4 linked regions of the Arabidopsis thaliana genome follow. The protein of the gene in region 4 binds, or shares a complex with, the protein of the main gene of each other region. Each region holds a gene or a part of one and is shown on either strand. Other genes may lie near its edges. The genes, in order: EDS1, AT5G66900, AT3G48080 and SAG101. A codon is read from its position in the direction of its gene.

Region 1 (5,324 bases), on a different chromosome or scaffold from region 4:
GAAGCATGAAATGAGGTTCTTGGACCAATGAGAACTTCAAGTGACTTGAGGAAAGCTTCGTTAACAGTAGTGTCAACGTCGTTGCCGATGCTTCTCATACAAGGAAATTGATTACGCTTCATCTTTATTTCTCCAAAGGGAGATGTATTCTCCGTAGCGAACAAATCTTCCGACGAGAAAGATGCTCGGAAGGCGAAAAAAACGGTTCCTCCTACTTCTTCTTTGAGATAGTGCTCCGTTTGGTTAGCTCCCTTCGACGCCATCCATGATATGGTGACTAGATCACCGTTGACTCCCGTAAGAGCTTCAAACGCCATTTCTCTTTTCTTGAGTGGACTTTCTTCTCTTTTTTCTTTTGAGTCGTCTTGATTCTTAGTCCTCCTACTCTGTTAATATAGTAGGAAGATGTAGACAGGAGTAATTACCCAAAATACCCCATCATGAGACCATTTCAATCTAAGGAAGGTTGTTTGTTACTGGTTCATGCTATTTGAGATGGCTTTAGGCTTTAGTAGAGTAACGTATATATTCTAAGATCACTGTAAAGTGGAAACCAAATTTGACATTAGAATAGAGAGCTATTACATTACTTCACAATGATCATACAACATGTTTCTTATTCTAAGATCATCATGAAGTGGAAACCAGATTGATAAACATTTCTTATTGCACAAATTAAGAGAAGCAAGTGTTCTAATAGCTTAAATACTCCACCACCTAAGGTTCAGGTATCTGTTATTTCATCCATCATATAGTCTCGCAGAGGAGAATGCGATTTGTGATTTTTGGGAAGCGTAATCCACCACTTTCTAAACGTTGAACCCTCCAGAAATATTTCCTTATCATCTACCTCCCCGTCTGTGATCCATTCTCCAAGCATCCCTTCTAATGTCTTAACTCTTACCTCAACTTCCTCGTATGGCTTTCCTTTGAGTTCTTCAACCTCAGCCCAAAAGCATGATCCGCACTCGGATCCCGAATTCTTTAGAGTCTCTTGAATTTCTTCTAGCTGTAACCCTAAGTTAAGACCATTTACCTTGTTCCAAAATACATCTTCTGCAATCATTCCGTTTGGCTTCAGTATATAATGTTCGTAGCCTCTCTGAGCATATATGTAGCGGGTTGGTCTTCCTCTTTTCATGTACGGCCCTGTGTCTTCGTTCTTTAAATGTCGATGGTAGTTTGCAATATCAAGAGGCTCAACTAATCTGCGGTATCGAGTTGCTAACTTGATCCAATCTATGTCCCCTTCGAACTCATCTGGAAGTTGACATTTCTTCATTAAACCAAGCACCTCGTCAAAAACACCGGCTAACTCAGCTCTCTTGACGTTTGCTTTGAAGTCATTCTCTTCATTTGAAACTTTGAAGGAATCATAATACCCATTTTTATGGGCTTGACACTTTGGCTTGTATTCATCTTCTATCCATGCTAGTTTCTTTAAAAACCTCTCTTGCTCGATCACCTAAAAACCACAGAACCAACAAGTTTTATGTTGTTAGACACAAACAGACGAAGCACGTACCTGCATTATTCATGAACAAGCTTATCAACCACAAACCTGAATAATCTTCTTCTGATTCTCTACTCGTTTCTTCTCTTCCTCTAATGCAGCTTGAACGTACTGTCTGCCTCTTGTGCTCTGCAGAAAAAGGAAACACTCTGAAGGGTTTAAATGATTGCAAGAATGGAGCTATGGAGCTGCACAGTATGAAAAGAGAGAGAGAGAGAGACTTACCACTCCAAGGTCATTGAGCGTAGACTCTATTGAGTTTTCTCCATCCAAATGATTAAACAACTTCTTTCCCATCGACTGTACCAGTTCCTCATAGCTATGATGATCTCTGATACTTCGAAATGGAATTAGAGACCATTCTTGTTCATCGCTGGCTTGAGAAGTGTAAAACAGCATTTGAAGAATGGCGTCCGAGTTGTTCACTGCAACCAATCTCTTCTCTGTAGAGAAAACAAAAGTACCGGCGGGTCTATAAGGACTTAGCTCAAGGAAACTAGAAAGGGTCTCTAAAAACGCCTCTGCGCTTCCAGTCAATTCACAAACAGCTTGGTTTGCAACAGTTGATGTGTCTCGCATCACCCTTGTGTAAAACTCTGTTATTCTCTGTTCACTCTCTTGGACGGAAGACTTTCTGGGATCCAATTGGGCAAGAACATGAGGCAAAGTTTCCTCTACAGACGCCTTTCGAGCAAGCATAATCCGAGGGACAATATCGAATCTTGAGACAAAGTTCACAAAGAACCGGCTCCATTTTTCTCTCCCAAGTGCGTGACTGAAGATAGAGTCACCAACCAAAGGAGCTCCAAATGTCACACAACGAGGCTCAAGGTAAACATTTGGATTGCGTATGAAGTATTTCTCCAAATACCAAACTGTTGCTAAGATTGCAGTTGCACCTCCTGAGGAATGTCCTGTGAACACTATCTGTTTTCTACTCCTCACAGCCATTTCCACCTGAAGAAGTAAAAGCATAAGAGACCAAAAAAGAAAAAAAAAGAAAAATATATTCGGATGTTTTCAATCTTCTTACAGAAGCTTGAAATGAGGTTCTTGGATCAATGATAGCTTCAAGATTCTTGAGGAAAGCTTCGTTAACAGTAGCTACATCACCTTTACCGATTTTCCTCATACAAGGAAACTGAACACGGTTCAACTTGATTTCTCCAAAGGAAGATTTATTGTCCGGATCGAAGAAATCTTTCTCTGAGAAAGATGGTTGGAAAGCGAAGATTACGACTGCTCCTGCTTCTTCCTTGTGATAGCGCTCGGTTAGGTAAGCTTGCTTCGAGGCTGACCATGATCTGGTGATTAGATCACCATTGATTCCGGTAAGAGCTTCAAACGCCATTGATCTATATCTATTCTCTTTTCTTTAGTGGACTTTCTTCTCTCTTTTTTCTTTTGAATCGTCTTGCTTCTTTAATCCGCTCCTACTCTGTTAATTTATGGGAAGATGTAGACAGGACTAATTAGTTACCCAAAATACCCCATCATGAGACCATTTCAATGCAAAAATGGGTTTTTTTTTTTGGAGTTGACTCTTTGGCTATTGGAGACTCATGAAGAAAGAAAAGCTAGGAATCTTAGCTTTCCACGTGTCGGTTTTACATTGGTGTATGGCTTTGTACATCCGACATGACTGGAGTTTCGCAGAAACTTTCATAAACATTCACATTTGGTCGGAAAGTTTTCTCTGTGTAATCTTTGCTTGGAAATTTTGTAGCTTGACTTTGGAGTCTTCGTCTCTTTAATATAGACTCCATCTTTTGGTTTGAGATGTCACTCTCGGTTGGGATTTCGCAGTAACTCAATGATATTCACTTTTTTGTCGGAAAACAATTTTGTTGTTTAATGAATGAGGAGATTTGTTCGCTTGGAGTTAAGTTTTTGTAGCTTGACTTGGGTTTTCAGATTTGGTCTCGTATAGAAGAAATCTACTACTTTAACTCTGTTTTGCTTATAAATCTTATCCGGAAAGTAAACCGGATAATCTACAAGATATGGAACCGGTTCGATTTCTCTCAGCTGAATATTAACCGAATTAACTAACTACACCTTCTTGCCTGGTCCGTTTTTGCGTTCGGCAAGACGCGTCACATTCGACTTTTACTTGTTTGATTATGAAGTTACATGAACCGGACTAGAAAAATTTAGTTTGTTTTTTTGGCTAAACCAAATTGCATAACCATATTTTGCTTTCAGATAGAATGAAAAAGCCTAGGAGACTAAATTAACAAAAGAAACAAAAAAAAGTCTAGGAGACTAGAATTTTCTTGGTCTTAATAAAACCCAACTTGGGGAAATTTCTACGAAAAGCCATGTAAAGTGTTCCAACCAACGCTTAAAATAACTAACTTATCTCGCTGGATTCGATTCATGTAGACAGCTTTATTTTAATTAGACAAAAGATTAGCTTGTCTTCGTGTAATGAACGGTACTAAACTACTAATCCATTCCTAAATCATTATTTAAGTAATCTTAACAAAAGAAATTCATATGTTAACTTCCAAAATAACACACCACCATTTTACATATCTCTCATGTAAAGAAAAAAAAAATGTATCTCTTCTCCTCTCTAATGAATCCAAGTCTACAATTTACATTTCTATCTTATAAAAACCCATCTTTGTCACTCTTGATCAGTCTTGGTTCTATCAGCAAAAGAAGCCGTAATGTCTCAAAAATTGTAAGCCGAAAGAATCAGGACATGCATGTGTGTGAATCTTTGAGCTTTTAAAGAACATATCGTACGTGGAATCTGATAAACTCAGATCTTTGCGCGTTTTAGCTGCGAGTAGATATCATTAGCTTCAAGCTCTCTCTTGTGCATAATATTCTTAAAAGCTCTTTCCTCAGCTTTCATTAAAGAATCTCTTAATCTCTTCACATCAGCTAATTTCACAGGCTTCAATAAGAAATCTTCAGCTCCTTCTTCAAGACATCTGAATAAATATAAGGAACCAAATGTTAGTGATCTAATTCCATAAAGTTTATAACTTTGGATACAGAAAATGGCCAGCTCATATATGATAATCATTAAACTTAATCTGGTAAAGAGGGTTTGGTTCCTTAGTAATAAGCAAAGGCATGTGAGGTGTCTATCACGAGGATTGGGATTTTATAAATGACCCTACCTAAGATTATGCAACCCAAACAATTAAAACATATATTATAAAGTTTTGGAGGGCCTAACATGTCACCGGCTTATATAGAATCAAATCTCAAGAGAAGATCTTGCTTAACTTATGATGGATTATTCTTTTCTAAATTTATGGCCACAAGATAAATTTTATTATTCCTAAGATCCATTTTAAAAATCATTTTAGGACCCACTAAAATAAACACCAAATCTCAGCTTGATCAAATATACAACCACCACCAAAGTTAACCCCATGATAGTTAAAAAGTAATCATATAATAACCTTTTCTATCATAACAAAATCTTGTGATTATACAACAATTTAATTTAGTCAATACATATCCTTTAACGGTAACTTTATCACAAATCCTAAATTAGTGTGATTACTTTAAAAAGTTTCCTAAACAAACAATACCCTCTAAATCTAATCATCCCCATCTCCTGAAGTAATAAATGCACAAAATCTACTATATTTGGTAAATTTTGGTCCTACATAATCTTGACCTAAACAAGAATTAAGGATCATAGTTAAGATTATTATAGTAGAATATACCTATCGATACGAGGCAAGATGTTCTCTGAAGACATAATCACAACTGGTATTTCTCTGAAAGCTGATGATTCCTGTTAAAAAGTTCAAAATCCATAAACAAGATTAGATCAAAACTT
Region 2 (5,413 bases), about 22 Mb from region 4:
AGGAAGAAGTTTAAGGAGATTGCGAGAGGCAAGATCTTGGAGGTTATTCATACCCTCTTTACCGTATGATGCAGACCATAAGTCAATTATAGTGGAAGCTATTATCCTTTGGTCTTCAAGAAATGAGGCCATGTCCAAGAAACACTCTCGAAGATTGTGGGGCAAGGCATCAAAGCTTTGAATCGAATTCGAATTCATAATGGTTCCTATGAAGGGAGAGGAGAATTATGAATTAAGATGAAAACCAAGCAATTTGAGAGAAATTTTAATCTATTGACCGACTCTTTCTTTGATTATAAAAAACGTGACTCTTCATAAAAGCCATTAGATCAAATTTATAACGGAAAAGTCACGCGGTACTTTGAAGTTTCAAACAAACCATTGTTTGAATCCCAGAACAGAAGTTTAGCTAGCAAAGGAAAAAGGAGACTTGACTTCACATTTTAGGATTTTCAAAGAATTTACCAACATTATATTTTTAACATTAAGAATGTTGAATATTACATTTATAGTTTGTCAAAAATGTTGGTGAATAACTCTGTTCAAATCTATTCAAGTTAGATAAGGATCAAGGATTTAGTAGTACTCTTAAATGGTTTTAAAAGATTGACCTACACAAAATTCTTTGGCATGACATTTTCTCTGTACTTGGACTCAGTAGCCATTATAATGTATATAACAACGAAAATAATGAATAACAAACATTACAAGATCCACAGAAGCTACTACGATAACGTTCTTTCACTTAAAACATTTGAAGCAAGTTCAGGTTATGCTCTATTTCCTCCTCCTGAACTCTCAAATTTCTCATTTTTGGCTTCAGCCTTTCCCACAACAATCCAGTTTCTTCATCGCATTTGACCTCCAGATTCTCTAGATTCGTCACTGACTCCGGCAACTCGCATCCCGAACACTTTCTCATCGAGATCTTTTTCAGATTCTGCAGTTTGCCAATCTCTTGAGGCAACTTTCTCAATCCTAAGCAATGAGAAATATCCAGAAACCGCAAGTTGCTGAGTCCCTCAGTCGCTTCAGGCAGCTCAGAGAGATTCATAGAAGAACACAGCCTCAACACTTCTAGTCTACTCAAGTTGCCTATAGCTTCTGGAAGTTGAGAGAGCTTGTTACAGTTTGTGATGCTAAGTGTCTTCAATGAAACAATTTCAGAGATCCAATACGGTAACTCATCAAGATCATAGCAGTAGTCTATGTCAATCTCTTGTAATTTCGATAGAGCATTAGAGACAACTATATCTTCTGTGTCGTAGAAAACCTCACCGAAACTACACATGACCAAAGACAGCTTCTTAAGACTGCTGAGTTGCAGTTGGGGAATGTCTAGCAAAGTGATTGAAACTTTTTCCAATCTAATCCGTTTCAGGTTTGGTAATGAGCTGAGACACGAGAAATTACTCAATCTTGCTGGATAAAAACCGTGATTTGTGATTGTCAGAACCTTCAGCTTCTTCATTCCAGAGATGAAGCTTGGCAATGCATAGTCTGATGAAGAGAGATTTAGAACTAAAGCCTCAACATTGGGGCAATCCATTTCCAACCATTTCGATGAGAACAAATCATCTGTAAGAAAAAGAGAGACCAATCATAGTTATAGAGAAGTCATATTTCTAGAAACAGCAGAGATTTGTATAATCATTAAGTTTAATTTTCAGAAAAAGAAGACCCCAAAGAATTACCCGTAGAGATAGACAATAAAGAGGCATTAATAGTATTCAAACACCAGTCTGGAAATGTATTCTCTAGTATCTCCAGATTTAGTCTTTTTCTTTCTAAGTTTTCCTTAAATTCGCTTTGACAGATAGCCAACTCCCTAAGGATATCATGTTGAGTCACTAAGAAGTCATTGTAGAAACCGTCTTCGTGCTCATTTGTGCTGATAAAGAAATAAATAAGTTCCACTAATGGTAGATGGCAAGAAGGTGCAAAGATATAGATTTGAAACATAAATAACATACCCGAGAGGAACAAGTTTAAGTAGATTCTGGGAGGCAAGGTCTTCAAGGTACATATACAAGATACTACTACCTTTACCGTATAATTCCACCCACATATCAATTATTACCGAAGCACGTATCTTTTGGTCCTCAAGAAATGAGCCCATGTCCAAAAAGCACTCCTTAAGGTTGGGATCCAGAGCATCAAAACTAGGCTGCAAACATTCTAGCACAGTTGGATAAGGCTTACCAAGAATTTTTTCCCCTTCAGACCAGCTTTCCACCTGACCTTTCCATGTATTTAGAGATCGTCCTTTGAGTGAAACACCCACTACTTCAATTACGATTGGGAATCCATTGCAACGTTTCAATATCTGCAATACTCACCATGTGAAAAAAGAAAAAGATGAATCTATTGATATAGTTACAGATTTCGTAGATCACAAATGTATAGAGGTTCATCTAGATGAATGAAACAACAACCTTCTGGAGGAGATCTTCGTACTCATCAGGAGACGTGTTACAAGGTCGCGATGCCCAATGAATGAGAAGGGCTCTAGCATCATCATCTTCCAAAGGTTTCAAACGATAATTGGAATCAAAACTCGGAAAGTCAAACCGAGAAGTCACCAAAATCTTATAATTTGGTAACTTAATTTGAAATTTCTGAAGGAAAGAATCCGCTCCCCGCCACACATCATCCAACACCAACAATATAGGACCATTTTCTTTAAGTTCCTCCAGCAGTTTTCTTAAGCCAACTTCTGCTTGAGAATCATTCTCAAATGTAAGTGCATTGTAACCGTTGTGCTGGAGTAAATTCTGTACTATTACCCTAAAGTTAGGAGTATTTGACACAACATTAAAGAAGATATGCTTGAACTTCCCTGCCAAAGGAAACTACATGAGAAACCAGCTCAACTATTCACGAGTAAAAATTGAAACTTTAAGACTTAATGTGGATCAACAATACATACCTTTGATATCTGGATCGTCACAAAGCCGACTAACCAGCGTGGTTTTCCCGCAACCAGGAGGAGCAGAAACCACAAGAGTAACCACAGAATCGTCAAGGAGTCTCTTCTTTAACTCCCCCAATGGCCAATCCAATCCAACAATAACCTTATCAAGCTTGGGAACCGAACAAAGATCCCTAAAAACAGGCGCAGGAACACTCAAAAGGTCCATTCTTTTACTTAAACCATCAACCGAATTCACAAGGTTTCCCGTCAAACCCAACAACGTCAACTGATTCCTATGCTGAAGAAGCTGAAGATCAATCTGACAGAACTTAAGCATATCCTTATTGATTCTCTCAATTTTTCTAGTATATTTAGATTTCTCGTACCACTTGACTCTTGGAAACTTCCGAACAGCTACATCAGCTCTTTCGATCGTATCCCTAAGTTCCTTTAGTTCCTTTACACCAAAGTCAAGCTCTTTTTGCATCGAATCAATCTTTTGAGTTAACGGAAACAATATCTCCATTGTTGATACGAGATCCTTGGACAAGGGTTTGAAAGCTTTGAACTTTTTTGCTTCATCAATCACAACTTTCAGGAGCTTGGAAAACACAGCTTCCCCAATAGAACCTATTCCCAAACTAGCCCAATCGTTCATTCTTTCACTTCTCAGACAAAACCCAGAATCCAAAAAAAAAAAAAAAACTTGTTTGTAGAATCGCTGAAAATCGAAAAAGGGGATCACTGAAATATCAATGTGTGGTTCATAAAAATGTAGATAGACGAAGGAGACGAATTGCATAGCAAAGCTGTCGCCTTTGACTTCTCAGACTCGGTCCCTTGCCGCGCAATGACCAAGGAAAACGACTGCGTTTGCGTTTGGTCTTTTACGTTAACCACACGTTGTTCGATAGACGGAACGTGCTCTCCTCGTACGTGCGAGAGTATGCCTTTCTTAGATTGGGCCTTTTTCAAAGCGGCTTATTCAAATTAAGCCTTTATGTTTCTACGGCCCAATATAACATGCGTATTTGAAAAGCTCATAATTTAAAATCACTAGTACATACAATGATACAGCGTGGTTAGTAATTTCATTACAGAGCAATAAACTAGTATCAAACCCGAGACATAGCATGTTGACTCTTGTAATATTATTACTCGTTTAGTCTAGATTGTGATCATTAAAGAGTCAATAAGAATACACAAGCTACGAAAATGTTTTTTTTTTCACTCAAAACTTAAAACGTTAGAAGCAACTTCAGGTTATGCTCTGTTTCCTCCGTGTGAACTCTCAAATTTCTCATTTCTGGCATCAACCTTTCCCACAACAATCCAGTTACTTCATCGCATTTGACCTCCAGATTCTCTAGATACCTCACTGAATCCGGCAACTCGCATCCCGAACACTTCCTCATCGAGATATTCTCCAGTTTCTGTAGTTTGCCAATCTCTTGAGGCAACTTTCTCAATCCTAAGCAATGAGAAATATCCAGAGACCGCAAGTTGCTGAGTCTCTCAGTTGCTTCAGGCAGCTCAGAGAGATTCATACAAGAACACATCCTCAACACTTCTAGTCTACTCAAGTTCCCTATAGCTTCTGGAAGTTGAGAGAGCTTGTTACAGTTTGTGATGCTAAGTGTCTTCAATGAAACAACTTCGGGGATCCAATATGGTAACTCATCAAGATCATAGCAGTAGTCTATGTCAATCTCTTGTAAATTCGATAGAGCTTTAGAGACATCTATATCTTCTGTGTCGTAGAAAACCTCACCGAAACTACACATGAAAAATGATAGCTTCTTGAGACTGCCGAGTTGCAATTGAGGAATGTCCAGCAAAGTGACTGAAACCTTTTCAAATCTAATCCGTTTCAGGTTTGGTAATGAGCTGAGACACGAGAAATTACTCAATCTTGCTGGATAAAAACCGTGATTTGCGATTGTCAGAACCTTTAGCTTCTTCATTTCAGCAATGAAGCTTGGCAATGCATAGTCTAATGAGGAGATATTAAGAACTAAAGCCTCAACATTGGGGCAATCCATTTCCAACCATTTCGATGAGAACAAATCATCTGTAACAAAAAAAAAAGGTGGTCATATTTCTATGCATGATTTTCAGGGGAAAAAGAAGAAGAGGATCTTAAAGAATTACCCGTATAGATAGACAAAAGTCGAGCATTAATAGGTTGATTTAAACACTCGTCCGGAAAGTTGTCCTCTCGTATCTCCAAATTTAGTTTCTTTCTTTGCATGATTGGTTCCAATTCACTTTGAAAAATAGCCAACTCCCTCAGAATATTATGTTGAGTGACTAACAACTCATTGTAAAAACCGTCTTCGCGCTTATTTGTCCTGGTAGTAAGTAAAACAAATAAGTTCATGATCAAATGGTAGATGGCAAGAAGGTGCAATGAAACAAATGTTGTAAAAAACAACACCAACGTACCCGAGATGAACAAGTTTAAGCAGATTCTGGGAAGCAAGCTCATTAAGGTATAAC
Region 3 (5,151 bases), on a different chromosome or scaffold from region 4:
TTCAAGGTGGTGGTCTGACTATTCGGCTTGCTCGTTCGTCTAGCATGTTTTGCAGGTCATGAAGAAAGGATGTGTGGCTTTTCTCGGCCTGTGTCTGTTTGTTTTCTCTCTTCTTCATTGTTTTCCTCGCATGTTCTACGTTTTTCACCTGTCTTTAAAACTCTTTAGATATGGGTATAGGGATTTGTCTTTTGGCAACTGAGAACTATGTTCTATGTTCTTCTATGTCAATGACTCTTCTTCATCTGAAACATGTGGTGGTGGTGGTGGTGGTTATGTAGAGTGGTGTGTGAGTACATAAGGTGGTACACGAATTTCAAATACATAAAAGTTGCAATAAGTCTCTTTCTCATAGCCTGCGAGAACCTTGCTTATCTGTAATACTCTAAAGGTATCATTTTATGTCGTCTGTTATTTTAAGGTGGCCATAGATGTTATATCATTCTACTTGATTCTATGTTGAGCGACTAAATACAGCATATAGACAGTCAAGTTTGGTTATATATAAAATTGACATTCGCGCGAAAGAGTTGAAGATTACTTCTATTGTCTGATTCTTTTGTGAATGATCTACTTCCTCCTTAGCTATATGGTATGCATCCTTGAGTTGATTATACTGATGCAGGATTCTGGTGGAACGCAAATCTAACAGGAACGTCTTGGTAATGTGATTACTCTTTTATTTACTTGTGTTTAGGAGACATACTTGAGTCAAACTTTCATATCGAGCTAACTAGCATACAGAGGGGCATAGGGCAAGTTTCAAATTTTGTGTTTTAATCGTTTTCTTCTTTGGTTATGTAGTAGCTAGAACTTGGAGCGTTTGCACAGCCACTTGTTTTGAGGTATAGAGGTTAGTAATGTTATAAACAATTGAAGTAACCTCAGGCTCTATTCTGATGACATTCTGGTCCTCTTTCCTTCTGTCAACACTAAGGAAGATTGTTTGTTACTGGTTCATGCTATTCGAGATGGCTTTAGGCTTTAGAATAATGTATTTATTCTAAGATCATTGTAAAGTGGAAACCAAATTTGACATTAGAATAGAGAGCTATTACATTACTTCACAATGATCATACAACATGATTCTTATTCTAAGATCATCGTGAAGTGGAAACCAGATTGATAAACATTTCTTATTGCACAAATTAAGAAGCAAGTGTTTCAATAATCGAACCATTTAAGGTTCAGGTAGCTCTTGTTTCATCCATCATACGCTCACGTGGATACAGCGGAGCATGTATTTTGTGACTGTCAGGAAGTGTATTCCACCACTTTCTAAATGTTGAACCCTCCAGAAATATTTCCTTCTCATCTACTTCCCCGTCTTTGATCCATCCTTCAAGCAACCCTTCTAGTGTCTTGAATCTTACCTGAACTTCCTCATATGGCTTTCCCTTGAGTTCTTCGACCTCAGCCCAAAAGCATGAACCGCACTCGGATCCCGAATTCTTTAAGATCTCTTGAATGTCTTGCTGTAATCCTAAGTTAAGACCATTTACCTTGCTCCAAAACACATCTTTTGCGATCATTCCAGTTGGCTTTAATATATCATGTTCGTACCCTCTCTGAGCGTATTTGTAGCGGCTTGGTCTTCCATGTAACATGTACGGCCCTGTGTCTTCGTTCTTTAACTGCCCATGGTAGTTTGAAATATCAAGAGGTTCAATTAATCTGCGGTATTGAGTTGCTAAATTGATCCAGCCTCTGCTCCCCTCGAATCCATCTGGAAGCTGACCTTTCTTCACTAAACCAAGCACCTCGTCGAAAATACCGGCTAACTCCACTCTCTTGACGTTTGCTTTGAAGTCATTCTCTTCATTTGAATCTTTGAAGGAATCGTAATACCCATTTTTATGAGCTTGACACTTTGGCTTGTATACTTCCACTATCCAAGTTAGTCTTTCTACTATTTGATCTCTTTTGGTTTCTATCTTCTTCTGATTTTCCACTCGTTGCTTCTCAGCCTCTAATGCAGCATGAATACACTGTCTGGCTCTTGTGCTCTGCAAAAAAGGAAACATAAATAAGGATGGAGCTAATGAAGCTGCACAAATTGAAAAGAGAAAAAGATTTACCATTCCAAGGTCGTCGAGAGCGGAGCCTATTGAGTTTTCTCCATCCAAAAGCGGATTATGCAGATCCAAATGATTAAGCAACTTAATACCAATGGATTGTACCAGTTCCTCATAGCCATGGTGATCTCTAATGCTTAGAAATGGAATCACAGACAATTCTTGTTCGTCGTTGGACTGACAAGTGTAAAACAACATTTGAAGAATGGCGTCTGAGTTGTTCACTACAACCAATCTTTTCTGTGTAGAGAAGACAAAAGTGCCTACTGGTCTATAAGGACTTAGCTCATAAAAACTAGAAAGAGTTTCTAAAAACGCTTCTCCGTTTCCAATCAACTGACAGACAGCTTTGGAAGCAACAGTATATGTGTCTCGCATCACCCTTGTGTAAAATTCTGTTATCACCTGGTCGCTCTCATGGATCGGAGCTCTTGTAGAATCCAATTTGCCAAGAACGTAAGACAGGGTTTGCTCTATCGTTGTCTTCCGAGCAAGCATAATCCGAGGGACAATATCGAATCTTGTAACAAAGTTTACGAAAAACCGGCTCCAATTCTCTCTCCCAAGCGCGTGTTTAAAGATATAGTCACCAACCAAAGGAGCTCCAAATGTCACACAACGAGGCTCAGGGGCAGCATAGGCGTCACGTATGAAGTATGTCTCCAAATACCAAACTGTTGCTAGAATTGCAGTTGCGCCTCCGAAAGAATGTCCTGTGAACACAACCTGTTGTTTTCTATCAACCGCGCTTTGCACCTGAAGAAAGTAAGTTTCAGACACAAATTATTCTGATGTTTTCGATTTAAAACGCATTTAAGAAGCTTTTGTTTACTTACAGAAGCATGAAATGAGGTTCTTGGACCAATGAGAACTTCAAGTGACTTGAGGAAAGCTTCGTTAACAGTAGTGTCAACGTCGTTGCCGATGCTTCTCATACAAGGAAATTGATTACGCTTCATCTTTATTTCTCCAAAGGGAGATGTATTCTCCGTAGCGAACAAATCTTCCGACGAGAAAGATGCTCGGAAGGCGAAAAAAACGGTTCCTCCTACTTCTTCTTTGAGATAGTGCTCCGTTTGGTTAGCTCCCTTCGACGCCATCCATGATATGGTGACTAGATCACCGTTGACTCCCGTAAGAGCTTCAAACGCCATTTCTCTTTTCTTGAGTGGACTTTCTTCTCTTTTTTCTTTTGAGTCGTCTTGATTCTTAGTCCTCCTACTCTGTTAATATAGTAGGAAGATGTAGACAGGAGTAATTACCCAAAATACCCCATCATGAGACCATTTCAATCTAAGGAAGGTTGTTTGTTACTGGTTCATGCTATTTGAGATGGCTTTAGGCTTTAGTAGAGTAACGTATATATTCTAAGATCACTGTAAAGTGGAAACCAAATTTGACATTAGAATAGAGAGCTATTACATTACTTCACAATGATCATACAACATGTTTCTTATTCTAAGATCATCATGAAGTGGAAACCAGATTGATAAACATTTCTTATTGCACAAATTAAGAGAAGCAAGTGTTCTAATAGCTTAAATACTCCACCACCTAAGGTTCAGGTATCTGTTATTTCATCCATCATATAGTCTCGCAGAGGAGAATGCGATTTGTGATTTTTGGGAAGCGTAATCCACCACTTTCTAAACGTTGAACCCTCCAGAAATATTTCCTTATCATCTACCTCCCCGTCTGTGATCCATTCTCCAAGCATCCCTTCTAATGTCTTAACTCTTACCTCAACTTCCTCGTATGGCTTTCCTTTGAGTTCTTCAACCTCAGCCCAAAAGCATGATCCGCACTCGGATCCCGAATTCTTTAGAGTCTCTTGAATTTCTTCTAGCTGTAACCCTAAGTTAAGACCATTTACCTTGTTCCAAAATACATCTTCTGCAATCATTCCGTTTGGCTTCAGTATATAATGTTCGTAGCCTCTCTGAGCATATATGTAGCGGGTTGGTCTTCCTCTTTTCATGTACGGCCCTGTGTCTTCGTTCTTTAAATGTCGATGGTAGTTTGCAATATCAAGAGGCTCAACTAATCTGCGGTATCGAGTTGCTAACTTGATCCAATCTATGTCCCCTTCGAACTCATCTGGAAGTTGACATTTCTTCATTAAACCAAGCACCTCGTCAAAAACACCGGCTAACTCAGCTCTCTTGACGTTTGCTTTGAAGTCATTCTCTTCATTTGAAACTTTGAAGGAATCATAATACCCATTTTTATGGGCTTGACACTTTGGCTTGTATTCATCTTCTATCCATGCTAGTTTCTTTAAAAACCTCTCTTGCTCGATCACCTAAAAACCACAGAACCAACAAGTTTTATGTTGTTAGACACAAACAGACGAAGCACGTACCTGCATTATTCATGAACAAGCTTATCAACCACAAACCTGAATAATCTTCTTCTGATTCTCTACTCGTTTCTTCTCTTCCTCTAATGCAGCTTGAACGTACTGTCTGCCTCTTGTGCTCTGCAGAAAAAGGAAACACTCTGAAGGGTTTAAATGATTGCAAGAATGGAGCTATGGAGCTGCACAGTATGAAAAGAGAGAGAGAGAGAGACTTACCACTCCAAGGTCATTGAGCGTAGACTCTATTGAGTTTTCTCCATCCAAATGATTAAACAACTTCTTTCCCATCGACTGTACCAGTTCCTCATAGCTATGATGATCTCTGATACTTCGAAATGGAATTAGAGACCATTCTTGTTCATCGCTGGCTTGAGAAGTGTAAAACAGCATTTGAAGAATGGCGTCCGAGTTGTTCACTGCAACCAATCTCTTCTCTGTAGAGAAAACAAAAGTACCGGCGGGTCTATAAGGACTTAGCTCAAGGAAACTAGAAAGGGTCTCTAAAAACGCCTCTGCGCTTCCAGTCAATTCACAAACAGCTTGGTTTGCAACAGTTGATGTGTCTCGCATCACCCTTGTGTAAAACTCTGTTATTCTCTGTTCACTCTCTTGGACGGAAGACTTTCTGGGATCCAATTGGGCAAGAACATGAGGCAAAGTTTCCTCTACAGACGCCTTTCGAGCAAGCATAATCCGAGGGACAATATCGAATCTTGA
Region 4 (4,573 bases):
CGACAAAAAAAGAATGGAGTGGGATTCTTGAGCAGAAAGTTTTCTTCAAGAGATTTAGGGTTTTGCCATGGAAAGGCAGGCATAGCAAGAAGACCAAGAATAATCAACGAGATACTGATCAAGATGGCTCGAACATATTAGTTATTGCTCTCTTTTTAATGCACCTCTATTGCCCTAACGTTAATGGGCCTTTATTGGGTTTATTATTGGCCCTTTACCTAAGGTATACTCAAAAAGATTTCCTTATTGAGTATATAGATTAGGAGTTTAGGACGTTTAACAAAAAGGAGTAGTAGCTTAGTGAGATTTGACGTGAGTAATTCATTTGATTATTCGTGGGTCTTGGAGGATTTCATTGAAAGTAAGTTTATTAATAAGGACTAGTACTGTAAACTTTAGAGGCATTGCTCACACGGGTGAGGTTATATATGCAAATTACGATCTGGAGTAGTTAGTTCTATGCAATCCGTCACGATCCTAAGACGAATACTCTAAGAGTTGTTGCGATTGATGTAAACTTCATCATACCACCCTTACAAGAACACATAAATAACGTTATTTTATTTCACTTCTGTTACTCTCGCAATGACACACTTTTGTCTTTTGCTTTTGCTTTCTTAAATATAATACTTTTTTTTCTTGTAAACGGGAAGAAATTGGTAACGAAATTTACTAGAAACTACTAATTCTCGTTGTAAATGAATAATAACAATCACACACTAGTAACCTGAAATGTAAATAAATTACCAAATTATTCCATTATTGTGACTTACCATAACTCTCGTACTTCCGGGTGTTCATAAACTCGGTCAAGTATGAAGAATTAAAGCCTTTGATCTTTTTGTACTCTTTCCACCACTTCATGAAACTGCTTTCCTCTAAGAATATCTCCGGCGAAACCTCACGTTTTGTGATTATCTCCCACACGTATCCCTCAAACTCCACGAGTTTTCTAGTCAATACCTCTCTCACATCGTCTCTCATCCCCACAGTTGTATTCAACTGATTAATTACAATCAACGAATCCTCAACTTCAGCCCAAAAACAAGAATCAAACGTCAAAAGATCACTCAAATCTCTCTTTTTGCATCTTTCCTTTTCTATTAATATCGATTCCATTCCAAACCATTTCTCAAGCATAACATAGTGGTGAGACCTTCCCGTAGTTCGATACTCTTTCCGACCCTCGAGGTAATATTCAGCAATATCGAGTGGTTCGATCATCCGTCTGTAATTGTTCCCCGAGAATAGAAACCGTCTCTTGAGAATCGATGCATCGCTCTGCGGCCTCCTCTCTACTTCTTCAACTACTGATTTCCAAAAACGGTTTAGCTCTGATTTGTGGTGATTCTTGATGTTTATATCAAACTCTTTCGACGGAAACGCGAGCTGAGTCTTGAACCGATCGTAGTAACCGATCTTGACCTCCTTGCATTTCTTTTTGTACCACTCTATATAAGCCATCGATATCTTCATGTCGTTTAGTTTCTTAAACATCATATCAAATCGCAGATTTTTCATTTCTGCACGTTTCTCTATTCCTTTGATAACATCTTCAGGGATCAATCTTGAATCCGCCAGAGACAACATGGATTGGTCAAGACGATTTAGAACTTGGCTGTAGTCTACTAGACCCGAATCATGAACACCGTTTAGCAACTCTGTGACCGCCACATGGTCCTCGATGCAAACACATCCGGAATCAAAACAGATCAAAAACGTTCCAAAAGGTTTGAAGAAGTCCATCTTGATACGAGTTTGTGCTGATACAACGTGAAGGAAACATGAATTCCTCACAGAGTTCTCAAGAATCTGTTGAAGAGAAGCGTCTCCGATCAATGGCGAGCCAAATGTGATGCATAAGGGACGTTTTAACGTCGGTTCGATGGTTTCAAGAAGCCATAGCGTATAGAGAGATGCAACAGACCCTCCTAACGCAGCTCCGGTGATGATCACCGGTTTCTCAGACTTGAGCGTTTGGAGCAACTGCAAGAGACATATAACTTTCAAGTTTTCTACGTACAAAGATTCTGTTTCTTATAGTTGTTGACTTTTAAAACCAGACAATACACAAAGAAACATATACTAGATCAAACAAAATCTGAAACAGAGTATTAAAAAGCTATTGGACTGAATTGCAAACACGGCAGAGATATATTTCTGCAGACACTAACTTTCAAGATTCTGAATTAGTCTTAAAAACGAGATAAGACTGAAGAGATGGAGATTAAATTACCTCTGATTTGAGGTAAGTGAGACTAGTAGAAGCAGAGGTAAAAAGGTTAAAAGCAGGTGTGTGAAGAGAGAATGATGGGTTGTTCTCGGAGCAGAGGAATGGGAAAGGATTTTCTTTATCTTTCACATGAAGAAGAGTAGAATCAGAGCTACTACTTCTGCAGATCGGTGGTGCGCTAAAAACCACAAGTGTGAATTTCTCTTCTCGGTGAATCTGAAATTCTAGACCTGAATCTTTTTTTTTTTTTGAAACTTGTAGACCTGGATCATGATTCGAATAAGGTGGGTTATGTATCTCCAAGATCTTACTCCATGAGCTATGTAAGAGACCAGAGGTCACCACAAGCTTCCCAAGTGCAGAACCTTTTCTAAAAACCAGGAAAATTGTGAATTTAAGTCAATGTCTAAGGAACAAGAAATAAAAATATCATCAACAAAAAAATACGGTTTTCAAGAAACGAAAGAAGCTGAACAAAGCAGGTTAAGTTAGAAAGACAAGAGAGTGAATTGTAATGATTACAGTGAAGAAGAAGACTCCATGGCGTGAGCTGGAATAGATCTGTGGAGAAGACAATACAAAATTATGGATGGTAAGAATGAAAATTTATATTGTAAGACTGAGAGAAATAAATGTCTGAGAACGAGAGTCCATATTGAAAAATCATTGAACTGATAATAATTATTATAAAAAAAAAAAAGAAGTGTATCTGAAAGTCAATGGTCCCTTTTCCGGGAAGAATCGCCAAAGGCGAAGAGTTCAACATACTATTAAGATAGAACAAGTGTGAATAAAAATAACACGCTTGCATTTGAAAGCTTACCATATAAGATAGGACTCAAATGTGTACAAGAGAAGGACCAAAAGAATCATAAATACCCAAAAAGTCACAAAGAGTTTGTTTATTCTTTCCCTTTTTTAAAACATTTAAATATGTATATCATTATCACAAAGAACTTGTGGAATAAGTTGACATGTATTTGTTACTCCAAGACGAATTTGTTACTCCAAGTCTCCCAAGTCCCAAGTAAGTTCTCCTTGCGCAAGACTTTCCCAAATGATCTTCAAACACATCGGCCCAAATAGGCTGGACCATATGCACATAAGAGTCTATATAAGGCCCAAATAAGATTTGCAATTAGAGCATTTGACCCAACTGAATAACAACATTACCGCTAGCAGAACACTCATCTTTTGAGCTTCGCTATGTGCATTTCTTGTTTTCTTTCTTTTTTTAGGTTCTTCTATCTATTACATAGTTTCAGCGATACAAGAGTTACATGAGCCGAAGAAATGCCTAATAAAGTAACCTGTTAGAATAATAAAACTTTATCCATCCCTATATTATTCAATACAAAACAAATTCATAAAACCCTTAATTCATCGAGAAGGTTTTTTTCATTATTTAGTATTCTACGTCCCGTAAACAAAGATCCAACTCAATATTACTATAACAAAAACAAACGCATTACAAACTTATAAAAACTCCATTGATTTAAATTATTTCGTTTAACAACCATCGTCATATAAAGGTTCAAGGACATTTGGATTTTCCACCACGTGTCTTCATGTTGGCGTAACAAGATCCACACTTCTCCTTATTACCGTAGGTGCCTGGGGGAACACACTTGCAGCGGTAGCAGCACGTGACGCACGCTCTCATACATACGTTCTTCCTCGAGTGTTGCCCACACCTCGTCCCACATAAAGGCACGCAATCTAAACCGTCCAAAATTTAGTCCAATTATACATCCGATCTAATCAACGACCGATAATCATCACACTTTTGAAAGAAAATTATTATTACCTATCCGAGTTCTTACGGGAGGTGGTGTTGGAGGTTTGACAGGCGGCGCTGTAGGTGGTTTAACCGGTGTAGTTGGGGGATTGTACGTAGGTGGTTGGACCGGTGGCGTCGTGGTGGGGGGTTTAACCGGTGGAGTTGTGGTGGGTGGTTTAACCGGTGACGTTGGGGGTTTGTACGTAGGTGGTTGGACCGGCGGTGATTGAACTGGTGGCGTAGTGGGTGGTTTAACCGGTGATGTAGTGGGTGGTTTAACCGTTGGAGTTGGGGGTTTGTACGTAGGTGGTTGGACGGACGGTGGTTTAACTGTTGGCGTTGGGGGTTTGTACGTAGGTGGTTGTACCGGCGGTAGTTTGATCGGAGGAGTTGAAACCGGAGGTTTTACTGGTGTAACCGGAATAGTTGGAGGTTTGACCGGAGGTTTTGTGGTGGGTGGTTTAATAGGAGTAGTTGGCAGCGTGGGTGGCTTGTACGACGGCGTCGGCGGTTTGAGAGCTGGCGACGGCGGTTTGGTAGCCGGAGATGGCGATGGAAGT

The links.
Region 1: the proteins of SAG101 (region 4) and EDS1 are in contact, whole or in part, in a crystal structure (PDB 8YN0), measured with the Arabidopsis thaliana proteins. Residues at the interface, in NP_568307.3 of Arabidopsis thaliana: Glu2 (codon at 2,772), Ser4 (codon at 2,766), Leu7 (codon at 2,757), Lys8 (codon at 2,602), Ser10 (codon at 2,596), Ala11 (codon at 2,593), Leu12 (codon at 2,590), Lys14 (codon at 2,584), Leu15 (codon at 2,581), Val16 (codon at 2,578), Thr18 (codon at 2,572), Ser19 (codon at 2,569), Leu21 (codon at 2,563), Pro139 (codon at 1,959), Ile141 (codon at 1,953), Lys168 (codon at 1,872), Leu171 (codon at 1,863), Ser196 (codon at 1,788), Cys197 (codon at 1,785), Phe198 (codon at 1,782), Leu199 (codon at 1,779), Thr218 (codon at 1,722), Cys229 (codon at 1,689), Glu231 (codon at 1,683), Ala266 (codon at 1,578), Asp267 (codon at 1,575), Asn287 (codon at 1,515), Lys295 (codon at 1,491), Asn298 (codon at 1,482), Ile302 (codon at 1,470); in NP_190392.1 of Arabidopsis thaliana: Arg234 (codon at 2,089), Ser237 (codon at 2,080), Thr238 (codon at 2,077), Asn241 (codon at 2,068), Gln242 (codon at 2,065), Val244 (codon at 2,059), Cys245 (codon at 2,056), Thr248 (codon at 2,047), Ala251 (codon at 2,038), Ala253 (codon at 2,032), Phe254 (codon at 2,029), Leu255 (codon at 2,026), Thr257 (codon at 2,020), Leu258 (codon at 2,017), Ser260 (codon at 2,011), Phe261 (codon at 2,008), Leu262 (codon at 2,005), Phe295 (codon at 1,906), Tyr296 (codon at 1,903), Arg353 (codon at 1,636), Gln356 (codon at 1,627), Tyr357 (codon at 1,624), Gln359 (codon at 1,618), Ala360 (codon at 1,615), Ser413 (codon at 1,360), Asn414 (codon at 1,357), Glu415 (codon at 1,354), Phe419 (codon at 1,342), Asn422 (codon at 1,333), Val423 (codon at 1,330).
Region 2: the proteins of SAG101 (region 4) and AT5G66900 are in contact, whole or in part, in a cryo-EM structure (PDB 8YN1), measured with the Arabidopsis thaliana proteins. Residues at the interface, in NP_568307.3 of Arabidopsis thaliana: Met292 (codon at 1,500), Lys295 (codon at 1,491), Ile302 (codon at 1,470), Tyr306 (codon at 1,458), Trp309 (codon at 1,449), Tyr310 (codon at 1,446), Lys313 (codon at 1,437), Cys314 (codon at 1,434), Val317 (codon at 1,425), Arg324 (codon at 1,404), Phe331 (codon at 1,383), Pro332 (codon at 1,380), Ser333 (codon at 1,377), Lys334 (codon at 1,374), Glu335 (codon at 1,371), Phe336 (codon at 1,368), Asp337 (codon at 1,365), Ile338 (codon at 1,362), Asn339 (codon at 1,359), Asn342 (codon at 1,350), His343 (codon at 1,347), Glu347 (codon at 1,335); in NP_201491.1 of Arabidopsis thaliana: Arg429, Tyr583, Lys606, Met629, Tyr658, Tyr660, Asn682, Asn684, Met708, Leu732, Glu777, His801, Asn802, Leu803, Leu805, Leu806, Met808, Phe809.
Region 3: SAG101 (region 4) and AT3G48080 share a complex: the UniProt entries of both Arabidopsis thaliana proteins name them as parts of the nuclear complex.

Annotation. Positions count from the first base shown.
Region 1 is NC_003074.8:17,754,829-17,760,152, forward strand, and holds EDS1 (alpha/beta-Hydrolases superfamily protein), read right to left. Parts: upstream 3,320-5,324; 5' UTR 2,865-3,319; coding exon 2,547-2,864; intron 2,471-2,546; coding exon 1,739-2,470; intron 1,643-1,738; coding exon 1,562-1,642; intron 1,466-1,561; coding exon 725-1,465; 3' UTR 501-724; downstream 1-500. Other genes in the region: AT3G48080 (alpha/beta-Hydrolases superfamily protein), read right to left, coding at 1-317; RR5 (response regulator 5), read right to left, coding at 4,284-4,458, 5,209-5,279. UniProt on the Arabidopsis thaliana protein: Positive regulator of basal resistance and of effector-triggered immunity specifically mediated by TIR-NB-LRR (TNL) resistance proteins.
Region 2 is NC_003076.8:26,714,186-26,719,598, forward strand, and holds AT5G66900 (Disease resistance protein (CC-NBS-LRR class) family), read right to left. Parts: upstream 3,774-5,413; 5' UTR 3,717-3,773; coding exon 2,930-3,716; intron 2,840-2,929; coding exon 2,436-2,839; intron 2,327-2,435; coding exon 1,974-2,326; intron 1,892-1,973; coding exon 1,695-1,891; coding exon of another isoform or gene 1,660-1,694; exon of another isoform or gene 1,579-1,659; coding exon 746-1,578; 3' UTR 538-745; downstream 1-537. Other genes in the region: AT5G66890 (Leucine-rich repeat (LRR) family protein), read right to left, coding at 1-198; AT5G66910 (Disease resistance protein (CC-NBS-LRR class) family), read right to left, coding at 4,153-4,985, 5,066-5,265, 5,360-5,413. UniProt on the Arabidopsis thaliana protein: Probable disease resistance protein.
Region 3 is NC_003074.8:17,751,917-17,757,067, forward strand, and holds AT3G48080 (alpha/beta-Hydrolases superfamily protein), read right to left. Parts: upstream 3,275-5,151; 5' UTR 3,230-3,274; coding exon 2,912-3,229; intron 2,832-2,911; coding exon 2,079-2,831; intron 2,007-2,078; coding exon 1,188-2,006; 3' UTR 547-1,187; downstream 1-546. Other genes in the region: AT3G48070 (RING/U-box superfamily protein), read left to right, coding at 1-55, 282-381; EDS1 (alpha/beta-Hydrolases superfamily protein), read right to left, coding at 3,637-4,377, 4,474-4,554, 4,651-5,151.
Region 4 is NC_003076.8:4,826,956-4,831,528, reverse strand, and holds SAG101 (senescence-associated gene 101), read right to left. Parts: upstream 3,031-4,573; 5' UTR 2,776-3,030; coding exon 2,756-2,775; intron 2,604-2,755; coding exon 2,237-2,603; coding exon of another isoform or gene 2,228-2,236; exon of another isoform or gene 2,117-2,227; intron 1,987-2,116; coding exon 760-1,986; 3' UTR 547-759; downstream 1-546. Other genes in the region: AT5G14920 (Gibberellin-regulated family protein), read right to left, coding at 3,768-3,952, 4,041-4,573. UniProt on the Arabidopsis thaliana protein: Acyl hydrolase that triggers the leaf senescence onset. Can use triolein as substrate to produce oleic acids.